2 linked regions of the Saccharomyces cerevisiae S288C genome follow. Changing the gene in region 2 together with the main gene of any one other region gives a genetic interaction. Each region holds a gene or a part of one and is shown on either strand. Other genes may lie near its edges. The genes, in order: PTP3 and HKR1.

Region 1 (9,572 bases), on a different chromosome or scaffold from region 2:
CAAGGTTGTTCAATTGATTGGCGCCGTACAGACATTACTGAGGAGTATGTTATGTTGATGGAGAACGGTTAAAGTTACATTTCATCAGTTTTTTCCCGTTCTTTTTCACCTTTTGTGAGAAAATTTTACTAACGTTTCGTATATTATTCTTGTAGTACCATTAATTGGAATAAATATACTGGTGATTGTTTATGAATTACTATTGGGATGAACTAAGCGTACGAAGCAAATATTACATACTACTATATACAAGAAACAGGCTCTAATAGTTTTTTTTTCCCTTCACCTTTTCGGTTTTAGCTTTATTATAAAAGATATGAACAAAACCTCCAAGGGTAGTGGTAGCATGGTATGTGAAATTAGAGAGTTCATGCATAACTTGAAATGAAAATAATACTCTGTTACGTAGCTAACTACTGCCAAATATGTATCGAAAATATCAATTATTAAGGGGTTTCGTATTAATAAAATAGAGATCAAATACATTCATATTAGCCTAACTATTGTGGCAATTCTTTCAACTTATCATCCACGAATGTCTGCAAGATCTCTAATTTTTCGATTTGTTCAATTAATGCACTTAATGATATATTGTCCTTGTTACTTCCATCACCATCCGTTCTCTCTGTTATGTCATCAAGACGTAATCTAAAGTAAAATAGCAAGCAGTCATAAATGAAAATAAATTGATTAATGTTCTGGACCATGGATATTCGTTGCTTTCTAAAAATATTAATTGTCCATGAAATTGGATCGAATAACTTTGCCGGGTATTTTAATTTAACAAACTCTTTCTGCAACATTTCAAACATTTCGAAATTGGATAGAATGGAATCAATGGTACACAAAGTACCAGTCCTTCCACAACCTGCGGAACAATGAACCAAAATGGTAGGAAGTTGGTCGTTTTGATAGTAATTTCTGGCAAATAGTGTATCTATTATGTGATTCTTGACATTGATTGCTTGTAAGATTGAGATAGGATTGAGTAAAGTGCCCAAATCAGGCCAATTTTTCACCTGAATCTGTAACAATTCATAAGGTTTCTCTTGATCATGATATGTTAGCAGAATTTTTCTTATGAGAATTGCGTCATCATCATCATCATCATCATCATCACAAGCAGCAGCAGTAACAGCAATATTACTATTGTTATTGTTATTATTATTGTTGTCATTATCATTATCATTATCAGTACTATAGTTACTACTATTTCCCTGAACACCAGCTGAATATAAACTACTATTTTGTGTTCCCATAGTATTTTTCCTCATGCTAGTAGTGCTAGGCATCTTTAATATTTTTTTTTCTAACAATTTAACGTGAATACCGTTATAATTACCTTCTTGCCAATATCGATAACATTTCTCAATGCCATTTTCGAAATCATTTGTCAATGAGAGAACCAACGGAACGCCATTATTCAATATGCATGTATAAAAGTCATGTACAGTGGAGGGCATTGGAGCTTGCGTCGCTATATAGCGCACTCTTCTTGTTGTGGTTGTAGTTGTTTGAAATGACGAATTTTGCTCTACAGAAAACCTTGGCAGAGACAAATAGTTTGCGTTGATATAATTGTCGAGGATGCCACCATCGGAAGTAGAATGTGAATGCTTGATACCTTTTGATGATTGCAAACCTTTTTTTAGAATCACTCTCGAATGCTCGTAGGGAAAAATATCCTTGTACCTGTTCTTGGCTCCTAATTCAACGCCTGATGATATTATAACGTCATCTGACTCCGAATCGGAATCTGATTCAAGGCTGAGCATCGATTTATATTTACTGTATTGAGTGAAGATTGGCTGAGAATGCGACCTCTTTTGTACTTTGTTCACGTCAGGAAATTTTGGAGGCATGATTGTTGAAGAAGAAGTTGATGTTAACTGTTCAGGATATGATGATGGCTTTTCAAGTATAAACGAGTTTTCCTTCTTCCTGAAAGAGACAGAATGGTTCAAGCGCCTTTTTTCCAAAAAATCTAATTTTTGAAACTGAGAAACCAACTCGATCTTGGGTATTGACATCAGATGCTGGAACCATTCAGGTATAACGGAGTCAATGACCTCCTTTTCGTAATTTTTGCTCAGGTTTTCGTATCTGATCTGAAACCCTAGTTTGTCTTTATTAGTGTCCTTTTCTAGAGAATTTTGGTTCTTTGGGAATTGGAAGTTTTGTAAAGATTTTTTGGCAGAATCGTTATTATACCATCTTTCATGTTCTTCTTTGATGTTGACTGCACTCAAATACGTCTCTAAACCCATTATTTCTTCATTTTGCGAAAATTTGAACATTTGGTTTATGTTTGTTTGTGGTGCAGGCAGCTGGAACTTAAATAAGGCAGATATGGGGGAAGAAGAAGACATGGGAGAATCTGATAGGACGTTACGCGGAGAGGGAGAACTGGAAAAGTTTGAATGATCTGACCTACTATCGTCAGGAACTTTCAACTTAAGGTTCATTTGCGGAGACGATAGTGGTGTTGTCGCCGTCATATGCGGCGCTGTGTTGTGTAGACTGTTCATAAGGTTTGTCTTGGGGCTTTTAGGTTCAGCCGAACTAATGCAATCTGAGTTAAATGTGTTGGTGTTTATATGGTCTGGAAATAGAATTTTGAATTGAGGAAAACCACACATTAGTATAGACACGGTTTTTTTAACATTAGTATCAAACTCTATTAGCTTGGACGCTATTCCATAACAAGGTAAAGAAACAGAACTTTCCGTTTGATTTGCGGTGCTATCATAAATGATAATCCGAAGGTTATCGATGGCCAGTTTAGATTTCAACACGCTTTGCTCGCTAGGAGTTAAGTTGTCCAAGAGTTTGGAAAAGGTGAAATTTTTCCTCCTCAGCAGCGTGGAAGGCAAACATACATGAATGGAGTTTGTGATAATGGATTTGGCATGTTCGGTAAACGGCCTAACATCAAGTAAGAGCACCTTTTCATCTGGTAAGGTTTCAATAATCTTGCCCAGTTCTACAGCAGTAATTAGCGAACAACCCTGCGGCTTATTATATCGCTGTTCCTTGGGCTTGAAGCTTGGCAGGACAGGAGCGGTCGCCCTCTTCAATAACACCGGCGAAGATGTCTTATAGCTCACCAAAGGGCTACTGGCTTTGGGGCTGTGGTATATGTTGCTGTTCATGCTGTTATGATAACTGTTCATAGGAGCATGCCTCGAATATACATGCGAACTCGATCCGACCAAAGTGCTAGTCTCGGAAAGCACTGAAGTGCGGTCGGTGGGTAGAATGCTTGGGCAGTCTACACTGTCCTTCATGTTCTATATGATAAGTAGATCTGTGTTGCTGATGGAGAAGGGAGATACAATACGGATTTTCTATGAACTTTGCAGTGATAAGAGCACCTACGCTATTATAACACCGATGTTAGAATAATATGCAAGTTTGTGGTCTGTGTATACAGTTCTTTGTTTGTGCTTGAAGTGATGATGTTACATGTCAAAGAAAGAAAACCGCTAAGGTCAATGAAAATATAGTGTTACATCCGCCGGTGCAAATGGCGAGGAGAAGATTGGACTCTTGCGCATCGAACACTACCTATCTGCATCCATCCATGCCAGGTGCGCAAACTGTTGGGTCTGGCTAACACCACATTCTCGCTGCGCTGTGTTCTCCGATGACGTTTTGCCGCAAAATATTTTTTTCATGAAGGTCTTTTCTTTTCGTTCAGCGTCAGCGGGCCCAAATCTCAAAGTCGCCGCCATTCTGTTTAATGTTTAAAGTTTCCGCTCACTACACCAAGATGGCAGCAGGAGATGCCAGAAAAAGCGTGGGGTCTGGTCTGGTTAGATATTAGAAGTACATACACATCGGTGGGTGTGTAGCAGTGGCGACACATAAAATGGCCATAATGGGGGTGATTTTACGTATAGCATACATAGACATCTGTCGTTGAGGTTCGCTACCAGTGAACGGATTTAACGAGCAAGCAGCGAAAGTAGCCGAAAACCTCTTATTGTTAATAGTCATTTAGCAGCCGTTCTGCTGCTGTTTTCCTGTGGGGTGAGGTGGGCTGTGATTCGGTAAACTCGCTTGCGGTCTAACAAAAACAGAGAAAAACTTGGTACAAAAAGATTTCATTGGACGCAACCGGAATCGAACCGATGACCTCTTCCTTGCAAGGGAAGCGCGCTACCAACTGCGCCATGTGCCCAGAATTTCTGTATGTGTTGGATCTCAACACGGGGTACCTCCGTATAAGCAATTTTAACCCGTAGATGATTTTAGAGTTTCGTTCCTACACGCATGAAAAAGGTAAGATTGAGTATGCCTAAGATGAACCAATCAAAGTTATAAATACCTGAAGAAATGAGTTTAGATCTGTTGGATGGTGAAACATAAAAAACAGAATGAGGAATAATCGTAATATTTTTATGTAGAAATATCAAGTCCATTGTAAGGATTCTAATATCCTCGAGGAGAACTTCTAGTATATTCTGTATACATAATATTATTGCCTTTATCAACAACGGAATCCCAACAATCATCTCAAAGTTCACCAAAAGTCTCAAGATCCGACTTAAATCTTATATAATATGTAGAATTGCCTGCAAAAGTGTACGATTTTACAATAAAAAACGTCGAATTAGCTTTTCGCATACGTCTCAACCAAGAGGAGAGCGGTAAAAATTATGGGAAACTCAATCGTTAACCTTGCGCCTGATCAAAACAATCATTAATAGCCATATTATTTTTATCAACTTCTGGACAGTCAATACTCCAGGGATAATAATGGGACCAAGCATCATTGGCAACTACTCTCAGCTCGGCACGCCAAGAATCACCGTGGCTATAGGTAACACAAAACGCTGTCTTGCCGTGATTGTGCATACTGGATACTGAAACACGAACTGCACATGTTAAATTTCCTTCAGAGGCTGTAATATCACAGCTACTGTTTGTTGACCACGTCTTGACAAACAAACTCCAACCCTCTTGCCCATCAAAAAAGATATTCGTGAACTCCTGGCTGCCGCAAAACTTCTTGTCACCGCTCCCGTGAACGGCCCATGCTACCCATTGCGCTATGTAGCTGTTCAAATTAGTCGTAAGAGTTGTGGAAGAGACGGCCCTATTGTACAACCTAGACCAAGTTCTTACCTCCACTCCGTAAAACTTGGCTCTACAGAGGGTAGATTCACCTGTTTCCTGGTTGCGGTTGTATTGCAGGTCTGCTGGTGTTTCCACAGAACCATCGACGGCTACATTAATGGCATTACTGATACTTATTGCCGTGACGTCATTTTGAAGTTGCTCGACGAGACTATGCTGAGTGAAGTTGGCTGCTTGGGTAGTTATATTACTGATAATGTTAGGGTATTCAGTAGCATCACGCTTGTTGAAGGACTCAGGTACAGTACCATTTGCAGTTAATCCTATCGTCTGGTAAAATTCAACCATAGAAACTGGAGCGATTGCCAAATCATCGTCCATTTGCCAGAATCCTGATGGCAAGCCCTGGCTTTCACCGCCCGTCAGGTAGATCTCAGCACGTGTGCATGCGCATAACAATAAGATCGCATAAAAAAATGAGACGGTATAGTATCCTGAGGTCATTTTTCTCCCTTGGATTGATTGCTTGCTTTTGTATCTTTCTTATAATAGTTCTTTCAGAAGAGCCCAATATGCGGTTATTATATAAGTTAAGTTACGGCTATGTGAAGATTTTGAATAATGTAAAACTGTTAGAAAGCATTGCCTCTTGTATAAGATGTGGTCGCATTACTTCAGTTAATGACTTGAACCAGTTTGTTTTTCAATCCACGGCTGTATTCTTCACTAATAAAACCGATTAGCGGGAGTCAGGGAAATAGAAAGAATATTTGCAAATGGAGCACCATTTTAGAATTAATTTTTTTTCAGTGCTCACAGGTTGATGATAATGACAAAATATTTTGTTCTTTAGAATTATTTACATATTGTTTAGAGATGAACGATTATTCACACTTATTACTATATTGGTTTAAAATGGTTAACAGTTTGCTCGAGATATCAACACAATCTAGTCTTACATAAAACTTTCTTTTTTGTCCCTGGAAATCTGGCGCAAACCCTTTTTCATAGGATTGACTTAAAATAGTTGAAGAGCGATTTCTCTTGCAAAAAAAGGTGCTAACCCTTCTTACTTTGGTTTATTTTCGTGTTGGAACAAGTAGTACAAAAATATACAGGCGAGTTGATATAATAACATTATGTGCGTTCTCATCGTATACTTAGGCACATCTCTTATACGCTTATATATAATTGCAACAGTAACAGAATAATGAAACTGTTAAAAGCAATATGTAGACAATGACGCAATTGAGTTACAGATCCAATATATACGTGGAAAATATGAGTTGTTACACTGAACATGTTATATTTACCTGACATACCACTATATTGTACTGATGATACTTAAGACGTGCCAATTGCGCGTGTTATATGAACCTCTCCTTCATAGTATAGGAAGATGTACTTTCATTCTTAATTAACACCACCTTTGAATAATTTATCATCAGTAACTTTCAATTAACAAAAAAAATAGGAAAAAAATTTGAAAAAACCTCAAAACTATGTACATATTGAAAGGAGTAAATAATCAATTTTTACTTAAAACTTGTCATAGCTGGTTTCAAGTATCAGCTCGGCCAAGTCCTCCATGATGCGCTCTTCACTGGTACTTGTATTTTCGCTATCACCCTTCCTTCTTGAGTTGCCTTCAATGTCCGCTAAATCTTCCAGTAATATTTGCTTCAGCCTCAAAAGGTGCCTTCTGGCAAGAAACTTCTTTCTTTCCGTGCCTTTTAAACTGGCTATTTCCTCACTGTCCAGTGACGGAAGCTTGATTCTCTCGGTTAAAACCTTGACTAAACGAATTCCCTCCAACGTAACAAACCGCTTGTCTTCTATGCTCGCTTTAAATTCCTTCCCGAACTCACCATTCAATAAAGATTTCAAGTATTCATCTAGTATACTTTTCAGTTCCACTGTAGACACTTTATCATTCATGTTCAGATTTTTAACGATAGGAAACAGGAACTTCCATGAATTAAACCTGTAAACTTTGCCGTTCAACTTTGATGAGTATGTGGCCTCTACGCTATCTATAAACCCCCGAATCTTGTGCAAAGTAGCTTCAGCATTTGATGCATCTTTGTTTATAACGGCCTTGAGACTTTGTCTTTGGAATGCGTTGTACACCAAAATTAACGTCCTCCTGGTTATTGAGATTTGTGCCGACGAGGCTACCCGTTCATAAATGTCCAGACACTCGTCGCCGCAAGTGATGGGCCTCGTTGTTATGACAGTTTCCATGTATTTGTGGTATATGCTCTGATCTAACATTTGGTTGTTCTGTGCCTCTAATGTCTTAAATATTTCCATAGCAAGATCATATTCCTTGTTTTTCAAACAGTAATTCATAAACAATCCCACAACATGTTTGTTGAGAGGAAATGGCTTATTGATGTTCCAATGACTTAGTGGAACTAACGTAGGAAAATCGCTTTGTGTCAAATACTTCTTGAAAATGGTCTTATCAAATTGAAAATATTCACAGAGGGCCCATAGTCCCATTCCTTGCTTCTCAATCTTTGGTGACTTCTGGCTACATATTACTTCACAGTACTCAAATAACAATTTAGAATCGACACAATAGTCTGGTATTTTATTCATCAAATCATTGAGTACCACCATAAAACGTTTCTCATCGGCAATCCTGGTACAAGATCTTATCATTAAGGTATATGTAATACTATCCTTTTTCAAACCTGGGCACTTTTTATTAAGAAGTTTGAACACTAGTGTTTCATCGGTACAATTTATCAGTGCCGCCAAAGCGGTATTATATTCTATTTCCGTGAGCTCATTTTTGTCACACAAACTATCTATAGTCTTCAAAACAAGTTCTCCGTATTTTTTTGAGACCAAATTTTCTTGTTTTGAGAGCCCATTAAAGAGGATTGTGATGGAATGTTGATCAATAGGGACTCCCCATTTTTTTCGCCAATTGAAGATATCTACAGCACTTTGTTGGGACTGCACAACTTCGATATAATATTTCATAATCAAATTCATCCCAACGACGCCTTTCTTTTTAGCTAGCCTAGCCAAAAAGACAGCTTTTTCCAGTTGTCCTCTTTTCAAAAATTTTTGAACATCATTGGCGATTAATTTGGAATCACGTAACTGTTCTCCATTGACGCCTAGTATGGTATAAAAGAGTCTCTTATCTTTGGTTAAGGATAGGAACTTCAAGTCGCTTTGGCTAGTTGGCCCCAGTTTTGTATCTGCTAATGCCTCATTATTTATTTTATGAAATTTTCGAAGAATATGAAAAGCTTGATCCTTGGGGTATGCTGTCTTTTGCAGTTTTTTCAATTGTCTTCTTTTCTTAGAATTTATCCTTTCCAATTGTTTGGATGTTTTATTTAATATGAAACCGTGACGTTCTAGCTCATGTAGTCTTTCTTTTACTTGAGTTTTCTGTAGATTTGTCAGTGAATGAAAAGATCTTCTCAGCAGATGCTCTGTGAGATTAATTGCAGTGTTTATTCGGGGTAGCATTCTAGTAAATATACAAGTGTCTACACCTATTCTTGAAGACTGCGATGACTTTGAGGATGATTGATTCAGATCCTTGGTTCTCAGCTGTCCTTTTGTAATTTTTAGACCCATCTTTATTTTGCCGTAACTAAAAATAAAAACTAAAGAGCAGTGCCCAAGAAGAAGAGGAAAAAAACAAAAAGAAAGCTGAAGAAAAGTATCTCAAGATATTTTCAGTAAATTTTTTTTTTTTTGAATTTTCCGTTTAATATTAAAAGACCTTAAATCGATAAGTTATGTATCTGTATATACAGGGTGTACTCAATTTAGCAATAACATTACAGTGGTGCCACTTGGTCCTCCTCGAATTTTGTAGATAAGCCATTTTGCATGACATTTTCTAAATCGTCAATTTCTTTCACTGCTTCAACAGTTAAATTAGTGTAAGTATCTTCACCAATGGCTATGTCATCTTCAATTCTTATTCCGACGTTTCTAAAGTAAGATGGAAATGATTCCTCGTTAGGAATATATAAACCCGGTTCAATAGTAATAACTTGTCCAACCTTTAATGGTTCGTACCTGGAAACTTTAGGCACATCGTGAACATCTAGACCTAAATTGTGTCCAATATAGTGCGGATACAATTTTTCAACATTCCAACCGGAGACTTTATCTATGCCCAAGTTTTTCAATTCCTGTTTCATGAGTGTGATACTCTTTTCATGGATGTCGTGGAGGGAATAGTTATTGCTAGCTTTACATAACTTAATGCAATCACGCTGAACATTTAATACAGCTTCGTAGAGATCTCTTTGTGCATCAGTGAATTTCCCACTATTGGGCCACGTTCTCGAAATATCAGCACAATAACCACCCAAGGAGCCAGCAGCGTCTACAAGAACCATTTCGTCGTCAAACATCACATCATCGTTTCTTGTGTAATGGATACACAAAGAATTCGAACCAGTAGCGACCACGGGGATATATGCGTCCTTATCGCAACCACCGGATAT
Region 2 (12,025 bases):
TTATTGATGTTATTACTATTCACGAACAAGTTGTATAAATTTTCGAAATTATTATTATCACCATCTCCACATTGCATATATCGTTGCTCAATAAGTTCTGTCCATGGTTCTACAAATTCAAGCCCGATATCTTCACTAGCACCGAACCAATCTGTAACCTCGTCAGATAGAGATGGACCTTGGAAGAGTTCATTGTTCAGTAACGCTGTTGTGATATCGTTGTTTTGTTCAACAAAAGGATCAACGATACCTTTAGAAGATGTATCATTTGAATTCTGAGAATTGCTATTAATTTCCTCCGTCAAAGGCCTTTCCGAGGGTTCAAAAGTAGTCTCGGTTTTATTATATCCAATACGTTTAGAGAATATTGGCTTCTTAGTTAAGTCTTGTCCCTCCAGTGAGGATTCGCGATTGCTCTCTAGAGGAGTGGTGCCATCTCTTAATAAGGGTGGTCGTTCTAAGTAAGATTTTTTTCGAAGTTTCATCTCTGTACATAAGTACATTAATATGGCTGCGTATCTTTGACATAGATGTAATTCATCTGGTGTAGCTTCTTTCAAAGTAACCGCAGTGTCACGGATGATATCGAATGTTTCGTCAACCGATATTGCACTTAATTTTAAAATGTTTCTGGCATCTGGATTTGTTGCCAGTTCACTACCAGTAAGTGTTAGGTAGCATTTTACTATGAACGCAATGGATCTAATTATTCGTATTACCCATCTTACGGGCATGTATTTTAGCATTCCTTGCCTTGAAACTCGCTTTGCAGAACTCAATATTTCTTTTGCAGATCTGTATGCTAATTCCACATACCTCGCGCTTGTCACAATTTCATTCATATTCAATCTGCTTGTTTTCCCATCCACTTGCAGTGCGAGGGAAAAGATATAAAGTTGACAATAATTGAAATCTGTGATAATACTTTCACCATTTATTCTATCGATGTTATCAAATATTTGTTTTTTGTTCTTCCTATCTGCTAGTGAGAAAGGGACATCAGAAAGGGGTACAAGAAGCTCTCTGTAGTTACTGAGCCAGCCCTCTATCAAGGGAGAAAAAACACTTAGGACAGAGAGGTTGTGTCTCTGATCTGTCGTTGCCAATTTCCTCTTATTCTTCTCACAGTAAATCGTCTCATATGCTATGGATAGGATTCGAATGATCTCTATTTTTGCTCTTTGGGCGAATGAGAATCTTAGTGGAAATGGTGGTATGTGATTCTGTGCTAGATTAGTATCATCTTTTTTATTAGAATAATATAGAACATACTCATCGTTTAAAAACTCCCTCTCCCAATCAGTCAAAAAATTTTTCTCGTTGTCGTGGTCATTTTCTGAGTTTTCAAAAACTCTCTTCCACCTTAGTTTACTTTCTTCATCAGGCAAAATCTCATTCAGATAAAATTTTTCATTCCCAAGGTAATCCTCATTGCTTTCATTTCCATCGTTTTCAATTTTTCCTAAATTCAAGTTTAAAACGCTGAATGATTCTGCTAATAAGGATCTTTGATTCATATTCATAGCACTGGTAGTCTCAGATATATGAGTGACAATGAATACTTTTGAGCTGTTTTCAATGAATCCCATATCTTGCGCCAGCCTTACTGCAGACCCTGTCAGCATCCATGACATTCGGTCGCTTCTACGGATTGCGCCGACACCGGTCAATCCTTCTTCGTCCTTCCTCGTACTAATATTCTTACTTCCTCTAGCGTTGACATTATTTAACTCAGGATCATTTGCATAGTCAGACCATTTATAGTGGATACTCCTTGGGTTCCATTCCGTGAAAATTATGAAAGCAAGCACGGTGCCAATTGACCTAGTACTAGCCTCTGCCCAAATTGTTTGAGATATAAGCTTCTGGCAATACACCCATAATTTATCGTGAACTTCAATGTGTCTCATCCCATCTTCTCCATTGTCTAATCCTAAAGTATCGAAAGGATGATAGCGAGCAGAAACAGTCAAAATTGCACAAAACAAAATTGGATATTCTGCTAATTCTTTCGGATCATGCAATTGAAGTGGGATATTGGGAAAGAATGGGTGCATCGTGAGAAAAAATGCCTCTATGAGTTCAATCGCCTCCTCTTTAGTAAGCAAGCTATCTGGACCGATGTAATCGAAGTCGTCAATTTTCCGGGTAGGTGGAGGTCTCACTTTCCCGATTTCTTCCATTAATTGTGATGTTTTCCTATTCGTATTCAGCGTGTGGTTAAGCATATCTGCTGTATTTTCGTAAAGTGTGTTAGTACTGTCACTTTTTGAAAGTCGTTTCAACCCCTCGTCCGTAGCAGATTTATTTGTCGCATCCAAAGAACTTTTCAGTGGTTTCGGTGTTGTGGACTTCTCTTTTATGATTTCTTTTGCGCCTTCTTTTGCTACAGTTCCAGCAGCTTGGGCCAGAAACTCTAGGGCGTTCTGCATGGAGGAAAGTTCAAGCTTCCACTTCATCCCTTCTGATTTAAATGATTTTTCACTGCTAATCCCTTTTCTTGACAAAGGTACATCCGATAAAATTGGGCTCGTTGAGTCATTTTGTATCTCTTGCTTACTCTTACCTAGAGATGGCAGACTTATTGCATTAATCGAATTAGGAGGCAAGTCGTTCGAAGTTCCCTTATTAGAGCTAAAAATACATTTTTTTAGCTCCCTTTTGCAACGTGCACACGGTGGGTCGTGTGGGTTATCAACCGGACCAAGATCACATTTCACCTTCCTTGATCTGCAGCTGATGCAAGCTTGGTAGGTTCTTCTCCGTTTTGGAAGTTCAAATGCTGCGTTTCCCGAAGGCCTTTTCTTAGCAGACATAGAGGATAAAGCAGTGCTTAATGTAACCTTATTATGCGTGGATCATATATTCCCACGACTAACTTGATATTATTGCTTTAATTTATTCTCGCTCTTTTTTCATTGGTTAGTTACTATCTTCATTTATCTCGGTTATCATCGGATAGAATAGTGTACTCTCGTTGATTCCGAAAATATTAAAAAAAAGCCTTCATGTATTACTAAGAAGGACTCATAAAATTACAAATGCAATACTTGATGATATATATAATAATAGTAATGGCGTGAGCCTATGTGTATTAATGGGTATCAATTTTTGTGATCATCTTTTGTTGCAAGCGCCCCTTCCAGCAGCGTTTATTGCACAGTCAATAATCATTTTTCGCTATATTTTTGTCGTTTGATGGTTCTGTTGTTTTATAACTTTCGACATTCTCTTATAAAGTTCTTCGTCTAAAGCATCCAGCTCCTCGATATGTACATCTGAAACACTACCATTGTCGTCAATATCCTCTATTTCTAAATCTTCAAGATTAGAGAAAAGAGTCTGATTTGGCTTTGGTAGTGAAGATTCTGTGTAGCGTAATGTGTGAAGTTTAATCGAATTTGTATGAAGGGGTGTGGTATAAGCGGTACTTGGCAAACATGTCTGACTCCCTGTAGAAAACTCATTCGTAATTTGATTTCCAGTATCGGGATCATCTGTAGTACATGATTCAGTGCCTAGTCCATGAAGTTTAGTTTCGCACAAATGGTTCTTGTTATAGTTTTCAATAACTTCGTCTGGCAAGTGAAAACTGTTTGACTCTTCATTGTCAGAATAACTGTCGTATAATCGAATATCACCATTTTCATCAACATCTAGAATGCCTGATATGGACTCCTCATCATTCAAGAAGGCTTCCGTAGCATCTTGGTTTTTGTCATACACGCAGTCTCTTACTATACTGTCTATTCCCGAACCATCATCCCCATTGGTTTGATCAAAATCGAGGGGGATTGCGTCCCTGTACAATAGATCACCGTCATCATTAATGGTATAATGTAATCTGTGAATAGTATTATAGACTGTGTTTTCGCCAGTCACAATATAATGATCATCTACCGCAGAGTAAACACTTTCATTTTCAGATTCTGGCGGCTTTTCATTATAAACTTGGTTTCCAGAAGAAGAGCGGGAAAGCTCGGTACTTTCAAGTTCCCTCTCATTATTGAGGCTTTTCCCTATGCAGTTCCTTGGGTGTCTTTTCAATAATATATTTCTATGACGGAAAGCAAAAAATGCAACGAATAACCACAAGAGTACGCCAATAGTTAAAACAATCAAAAAGATGATTATTTTTACAGCATACTTTCCTGCAGATGCAGAATCTGTGAATGAATTGATAAAGTCATCCAAAGCTCCATACTTGTAAGTTCCATCTATGTTTTGGGAATTTCCTTTTGAAGAATCCAAGACGCTTGATGAGGTTAAACTAGGGACATAACCACCATCTCCAGAGCCATATAACGTCAATCCCCCTAATGGGATCCCACTATCTATTAGACCAGCTAAACTTCGCAGTGGGGTTTGAGGATTGCTATAAAGAGTCGAATTTTCATCAAGGATTAATTGCTGAAGATATGTTACGGCTTCTGTTGGAAAATATACCTCTGCAACTGATACAATGTATGCCTTAGAAGAGTCTACCATGGGAACAATCTTTTTCACCGCTATTGAGGATGTGTCGACTTGTGGAGGATGTAAGTCCTCGGTTGACTTCGTGGCATTTTTTTTCTGCTGGTTTTTTTTTTTCTTGACAACTGATAATGATGATATGGATTTTGGGGAAAGGGTAGTTGTGCTGCTCCCAGACCGGTATGAAAGAATAAAAGTGGATAATTCCCCAATACTATTGTCCAGTTCTGATGAGGTGTTTGAAAAGGGATACTTCAAAACGAGAGGTAAAAAGTTGAAGATTTGAGCCGAAGATAATGGATTTTGAACCAAAAATACATAATTCAAAGCGGCCGTGAATCCGATGGTAATTAAAGTGTGGTTAATGGGTTCCGATACAGCGACGGCCGGTTCAATTGCATTGGGAAGTGAACCAGTGATTGACGGATTGAATGATGCGGTAGTGGGGCCCGTTTCGGATGATTCCACTATAATAGCGGTAGGTAACCATGCGTAACTATTTGGAGAGGGGTACGGAGTAGTAGGATAGGTAGACAAGGCAGGGGCTGTGAATACTGAATTAGTGCTTGCCTGAGTTTGAACTGCAGTCGTAGCAGGTCCAATTGAGATTTTTGTAAAAGACCGAGAATATGACCCACTGGTTTCAGAAGAACTTTTGTATTGCGTCTTTGTTGTGGTTAAGCCGGTTTCCTCGCCATTTTCGCCCATGGTTTTCGATACTTTCCTGGATAAACTTTTCGAATCAACCTTTGTATTTGTGGAGAGCGATGGGTTAGATGAAATATGTGAACTTTGTAAAGAACCTACAGAATTCCTCCCTTCGGATTTTTCAGACTGACTATTTGCTCGTAATGTTGATGTAAAGCTTGTGATTCTTTCTTGTGTGTTTGAAACAGATTTACTTGCAGGTATTGTTTCTTTTGAAAGTTTTATTGAAGATATTGATGAGGATGAGTAGCCAAATGAGGTTGCACTTTTTGACGAATCGACAAAGTTATGTGATAGTCCAGTCACAGAATTATGAGAACTTGGAATAGATAAAGAATATGCGTGCGAGCTACTTGAAATTGTAGTTATCTCTGTAGGAGTAGCGGAAAACTTTTCATTGTCTGGTTTCGCCGCGGAAGATGTGTATAGGAAATTCGAAACAACTGTGGATCTGCCACTGGTCTCAGTATTCTTGTTCGCCGTATCGTATGGATTTTTTGTACTGCTAGACAGCTGGCTCTGTAGTGAACTAATTTTAGCTGAGTTTTTGGGGCTTGTTATGCTTGCTTGGGTCGATGAAATTATCAGAGAAGTTTCAACCAAATTCGAAGCTGAAGGGTTGAAAACGGAAAGCGCGCTTGAATGTATTTCGTCATTTAAAGTTGAGCTTGTAGAAATTTGCTGAGAGACTATACTTTGGATTGCCATCGAAGTCTGCAGTAAGAAATCCGTAATCCTGGACAATGTGCTATGTATTTGAGTTGGTGCTATTGTGGATGTTGTTGAGTACCGCTCAGAAGAAAATTCAAACGCATAAGCAGATGAAAAGTATGTGTAAGTAGAAGAGGTGGGTAAAGAAGTAGATGGGGAAGGTGAAAATTCATATGTAGCAATGGACGATCTGGAAGCAGAAGATGATAGAGAGTAAACAATATCATATGGAGAGGATGAGGAAGTAGATGACATGGCGACAGAAGCAGAAGGTGAAGGCGTGTAACCGGATGATATGGCAGCAAAAGTTGATGGAGAGTAAACAATATCATATGGAGAGGATGTGGAAGTAGATGACAGGACAACAAGAGCCGATGGTGAAGACGTGTACGTCGAGGATACTGCAACAGGTGCCGATGGTGAAGACGTGTACGTTGAGGATATTGCAGCAGGTGCTGATGGTGAAGACGTGTACGTCGAGGATACTGCAACGGGTGCCGATGGTGAAGACGTGTACGTTGAGGATATTGCAGCAGGTGCTGATGGTGAAGACGTGTACGTCGAGGATACTGCAACGGGTGCCGATGGTGAAGACGTGTACGTTGAGGATATTGCAGCAGGTGCTGATGGTGAAGACGTGTACGTCGAGGATACTGCAACGGGTACTGATGGTGAAGACGTGTACGTTGAGGATATTGCAGCAGGTGCTGATGGTGAAGACGTGTACGTCGAGGATACTGCAACGGGTACTGATGGTGAAGACGTGTACGTTGAGGATATTGCAGCAGGTGCTGATGGTGAAGACGTGTACGTCGAGGATACTGCAACGGGTGCCGATGGTGAAGACGTGTACGTTGAGGATATTGCAGCAGGTGCTGATGGTGAAGACGTGTACGTCGAGGATACTGCAACAGGTACCGATGGTGAAGACGTGTACGTTGAGGATATTGCAACAGGTGCTGATGGTGAAGACGTGTACGTCGAGGATACTGCAACAGGTGCCGATGGTGAAGACGTGTACGTTGAGGATATTGCAGCAGGTGCTGATGGTGAAGACGTGTACGTCGAGGATACTGCAACAGGTGCCGATGGTGAAGACGTGTACGTTGAGGATATTGCAGCAGGTGCCGATGGTGAAGACGTGTACGTCGAGGATACTGCAACAGGTGCCGATGGTGAAGACGTGTACGTTGAGGATATTGCAGCAGGTGCTGATGGTGAAGACGTGTACGTCGAGGATACTGCAACGGGTACTGATGGTGAAGACGCATAGGCAGAAGGTACTACAACAGAAGCCGATGGTGAAGACGTGTACGTCGAGGATACTGCAACGGGTACTGATGAGAAAGATATGTAAGCAGATGGAAAAGGAGCAACGCCAAAGTGAGAGGAAACGGATGCAGATAAGGATGGGGAAGAATAAAGGGAAGAAGAAATATAAGTCGACGAGGAAGTCGCATGAACAAAGGTTGAATGGACAGAGCTGTATGGCACTGTATTGGTGCTTGAAGTTGAAACAACAGTATCCGAAGCACTGCTAACTATAAAGTTTGTCGTGGAAATCGAAGATACTGCGAAAGTGTTAGATTCACGGCTTACACCTTGACTTGCCTCTGAAGATGTTTCGGCAGTGGAAGAAGTGGCCGGGCGATCGACAATCAGTTCTTGGTCAGGATAGTTGCCAGCACTTAAGTCATAATATGTGGAAAGCTCTACTTCACTCATACTAAAACTATCAATTGATGTAGTTTGCGTTATGCTAGAGGGCCGGGATACTCCAACAGCCACTCGGCTGCTCTCAGAGGTTTCAGTTGACGTTGTTTGGCTATAAGAAGATGAAAAGCTGGTAATGGGGGAGCTAGATGTCTTGTCTGCAGTCGACTCCCCTCCAGAATAGACGGTTGAACTTGAACTGTAACTTTCAGAGAGCTGGGATTTGCTCATGGCATATTCTTCTTCGACTGAATTTTCAAACGATACAGTGTTGGAAAAATCTGTTTGTGTTGATTCACTACTAAAGCCATCTATTGTTGAAGCTGCCGTTATGCTGGAGATTTGTGAAACTCTGGTTACCATTTGTGCAATTCTCGTTGTTTCACTGATACTGGAAGTTTGAGCCAATGTGCCTTCTTCTTTGGAAATTTGAGAATCTGTGGTTATTATTGGACTTATTTCCCTCGGTACCGCTGAACTATCGGATGTGGATATTATTACGCTACTTGAGGATTCCGAGGAGGTTGTATCGCTATCTGACTCCGCCACGGACTTCGGATTGTGACTAAGCGTTTGTGATATTTGTGATTCATCGCTATAGGACTGCAAAGGGGTGGGTACAATGCTACTACTTGGTGTCGCTATTTCCGTAGACTTTTTTACTGATGACATCGTGTCAGAAGTTTGCGTTGTCGTCGTCACACTAATATACTGGCTGGACGTACCAGTTTCTTGTTCATCCATTATTGTTGTGCTTCCACTTTCACCATATTGGCCAGCCATTGTGGTGGTTTCAGAGCTTGATGTTATTGCATTCTCTTTGTTGCTAGATCCGGTACTGGATATCGCGGATGTTGAATATGAGGGTGTGCTTTCTATTCCATTATTGTATGAAGTTGAATATATTGTATCGTTACTATAGGCCTCGATTGCATTTAACAATGACACCAGGAGTAAAATTTTTTTTATTTTCAATGAGACCATCTTTATACATTCTCTGTTTCTGACTGTTGACTGCGTCAGTTGAGGAAAAAGATATCGCAAAAATTTCAATAATGTGGGTGCGGAATCAGTTAGTTACTGGTTAAAGAATGATAATAAAATTGATGATATGGCAATTGATTATAAACGGAAAATGTTTACAAACAAAGTTAGTGCTCTAAGTTGTAAACTTTCTCTTGATTACAATGCAGGAAGCAGTACAGCGAAATATCCAAACGAATGAAATGACTACAGGTGCCTACGAGGGACACTGCTTTTAAATCGCTGTAACTACTGTCTTTGAATAAGCCCTCCAATTAACTAATCTAAATATTCCTAAATTAGTTAAAAAAATTTTCTGCAACCAAACGGGTCAGAAAGCGAAATATCTTTAGCGCGTTGTGGAAAAGAACAAACTGCTATTAATAGAAAGTCTAAGACTTTTGATAATAAGAAACGAATACTTGAGTGATAACGTTGTTACACCTTTTAAAGAAAAAAACAAAAGAAATTGACTGACAAATTTTGTTGCTACCAAATAAAAACATTAAAAATAACGACAACTGCAGGACTCGAACCTGCGCGGGCCAAAGCCCAAAAGATTTCTAATCTTTCGCCTTAACCACTCGGCCAAGTTGCCTTAATTTGTATTGTAATCTGGTCTTCAGAAGAGTAATGATAGTGTATAACTTTTTTATGATGTATAATATTACTTGCATTATTATTCTTCAGATTTGTTTTTAAACAGCGTTACTTTGTAACATGAGATTGTGTGTATCAAACCAATTCCTGCTTTAAACGCATCTAATTGATTAAGTCCCCTGAACAATCAGCTGAGGTCAGAGATCATGCTTCCAGCATTCATTATCACATGGATCTTATATATTATGAAGGTATGTAATATTCTGTGAGTCATGTCTACAAAAATAAATTATAACAAGTTGTTTCTTTTTTATAGACTTCCAAATCTCTATCAAGAAATCCTAGTATGAATATTGTACATAATGTTATCACTTTGATCAAAAGCGAAGTCTCAAAAGTCATCAGTCGGTATTTTCCGATCATAAGATATTAAAGGTACTTCGTTCTTCTTATCAACAAAACCTGGCGCCCGTGAATCATTTAGAAATTTTGGAAAAGCAATATTATCAGGACGTTTTAGTTGCTGAAGCCATATAATTGTCTATTTGGAATAGGTCATTTTTTTCTTGTAAAAAATGATAAGATGTTTTTGGAAGATGTAACTTGTTTCTTCTGAGGTGTGGCAGTATGTTGTGAGTTTGGTCTTTTCCGTGAAAACAACAATCTTTTTTCCCCGAAAGAAAGGTTTTTGGATGATTCTTCAGCACCATTTAAGCCTTCCGACAGTTTCAATGCTAAATGATAGTCTGCGTGCTCTTGAAGAGCCTTCTGGTCTGTAAAAGTCACCTGGTATTTACAACATTCCAACTTCGGAGTTTTCTCGTCAGCTTTCGAGCTGGTAGTTTTTTCCTCATCTTCCTTGCCTGCTGAGCTTTTGAAAGTATGGACCTGATTGCCAAACATATCTACAACAGTTTTTTGTAAATCTATAATATCGAAATTAGTAATTGTCATACTTAGTTTTGTTAAAGGGTAATAACTTTTGTTCTTTCCTTTAATATCAAGGTCCGTGACAAATTTTATGCCTACTTTTAGGAGTTCGTGACTCTGGAAATTGATGCCCTTGTACGCAACTGGACCTGATTTTCGATATACTTCGTAGGATTTTGTTTTTAAAGATATAGATACTGTTCTTGGTATTACGATCTTGTTATACTCCTGTTCCAGATCCTGAATCCTGGACGTAAGCTCAGCGCAGAAGACCTCAAGCCAAGAAATACAGTCCACGATGGAATTGCACGATTTTCCTCTAAGATTTTTGTTTGACATCATACTTTTTACAACAGGGCGAGAACTTAAGGGCAGACCGTACCGGCCTCTACTTAATTTAAACAACTTTTCTGCTAAATCTGCTGTTTTCAAAGGGTCGATATTGCTGGTTGAGCGATCATAATCAGATTGCTTAACTTTAGCATCTAAAAATTCCTTAAGCTGGCCAGCATTATCAGGCCACGTCTCTCTGATGTGTTTAATACTGTTTTCGTGGGGAAGATCCAATACGTCAATTAGTTCTTTGCCAAGAACGCCGCCTAAGGTCCAGAATGATGTAATTTCAAACTTTCCGCAATCTAAAAAATCTAATAAACAATCATTTTTCACAATTGTTTGGGCATCAGGTTTTTTGTAATTAGAAGCCAACTTGCAAACATTTTTGGTGCTAGACAAACCACACGAAGTAGTATAACCGAGAATATCTTTTATGCTATCTCTGATACCCTTGCATACCTGAGATCCTAGTGCAAGTATTACATCGTCCCAATCTGTGATCAGATCTCTGCCCTCTGGATTGAAAACATCGCCTTCAAACTTCAGAGACTTTATCTTTTCGGGTATAAGAGGTAGATGGGAATTTATATCATAGTTGCCCCCTATAAAAGCCTCACGAATATTGCTTAATGCATCTTTCAGTTTCAAGTCGCCTGTAAGCTCGTACTCATTATCAAACATTAGCATATTGAAACAAATCCGGCCCAAATCAAGAAATACTTCATCAATACTCGCCCTTTCGACTAGATCACATGCGCTTTTGAAAATCTTCAGCGCCTTGCGACTTTCCCTCCTATATGGTTCCAGTGATACTTTATGATCTTCCACACTTATCTGCTTTGCAGGATCCTGCACCCAAGATCCACATCCATCATGATATTGCCAAAAATCTTCTCCCTTTTTAAAAACGGCTGTATGGATCGGTATGAGGTTACTACATTTTTTTAGTGCTTCCTGAATCGTATCCATCCTTGATATACCATACTTTCTTGCTGCATAAGAGACTGCAATAATGGAATTCCACTGAACGCAGACTACCGGATCTTCTTTGCTTAAGCCACATCGCATCTGCTCAACCTGTGCAAAAAAGGCATTCATATCTATGTGGGCGATACATGCTAAGGAGGACTCGTATGCTTTACTGGGGGAACCAAGCTGAATCAACTCCTTCCAAGTAAATTTTGACATGCTTTGTCTTGTTTTATCAAAGCCGTTCAAAAATGAGCAGGCCTGCGCTAGAAGACTACAATAAGTGGTTTATACTTTTTTCGCCGCGATAAGGTATAATTATATAGGTACTTTAGTTAATCCGAAATTATAAGAATTGCCCAAAATTAAACTAATATTGTAAAATGGACTCGAAGTTTAAATTGAACTATTAATTTGAACCTATTTTCTTCTTCTTGAACATACAATAGGTATCCTATGATCGGCAGGATTAGGTAGCGTTTAATTTTATCCTTAGTACATTTTTAGAGTAATATTTTATATGGCAACCATGTTTAGATTGAAAGTTGCAACATCCTATCAT

The links.
Region 1: mutations in HKR1 (region 2) and PTP3 are lethal when combined (synthetic lethality), as found in Saccharomyces cerevisiae (one study listed by BioGRID).

The regions. Positions count from the first base shown.
Region 1 is NC_001137.3:307,913-317,484, forward strand, and holds PTP3 (tyrosine protein phosphatase PTP3), read right to left. Parts: upstream 3,288-9,572; coding exon 501-3,287; downstream 1-500. Other genes in the region: YOS1 (Yos1p), read left to right, coding at 1-44, 156-211; YER076C (uncharacterized protein), read right to left, coding at 4,678-5,586; MRX1 (Mrx1p), read right to left, coding at 6,622-8,688; ICP55 (aminopeptidase), read right to left, coding at 8,895-9,572. UniProt on the Saccharomyces cerevisiae protein: Major phosphatase responsible for tyrosine dephosphorylation of MAP kinases FUS3 and HOG1 to inactivate their activity; it also has important roles, along with MSG5, in the inactivation of FUS3 following pheromone stimulation.
Region 2 is NC_001136.10:1,302,831-1,314,855, reverse strand, and holds HKR1 (Hkr1p), read right to left. Parts: upstream 8,590-12,025; coding exon 3,181-8,589; downstream 1-3,180. Other genes in the region: ARO80 (Aro80p), read right to left, coding at 1-2,816; RAD30 (DNA-directed DNA polymerase eta), read right to left, coding at 9,784-11,682.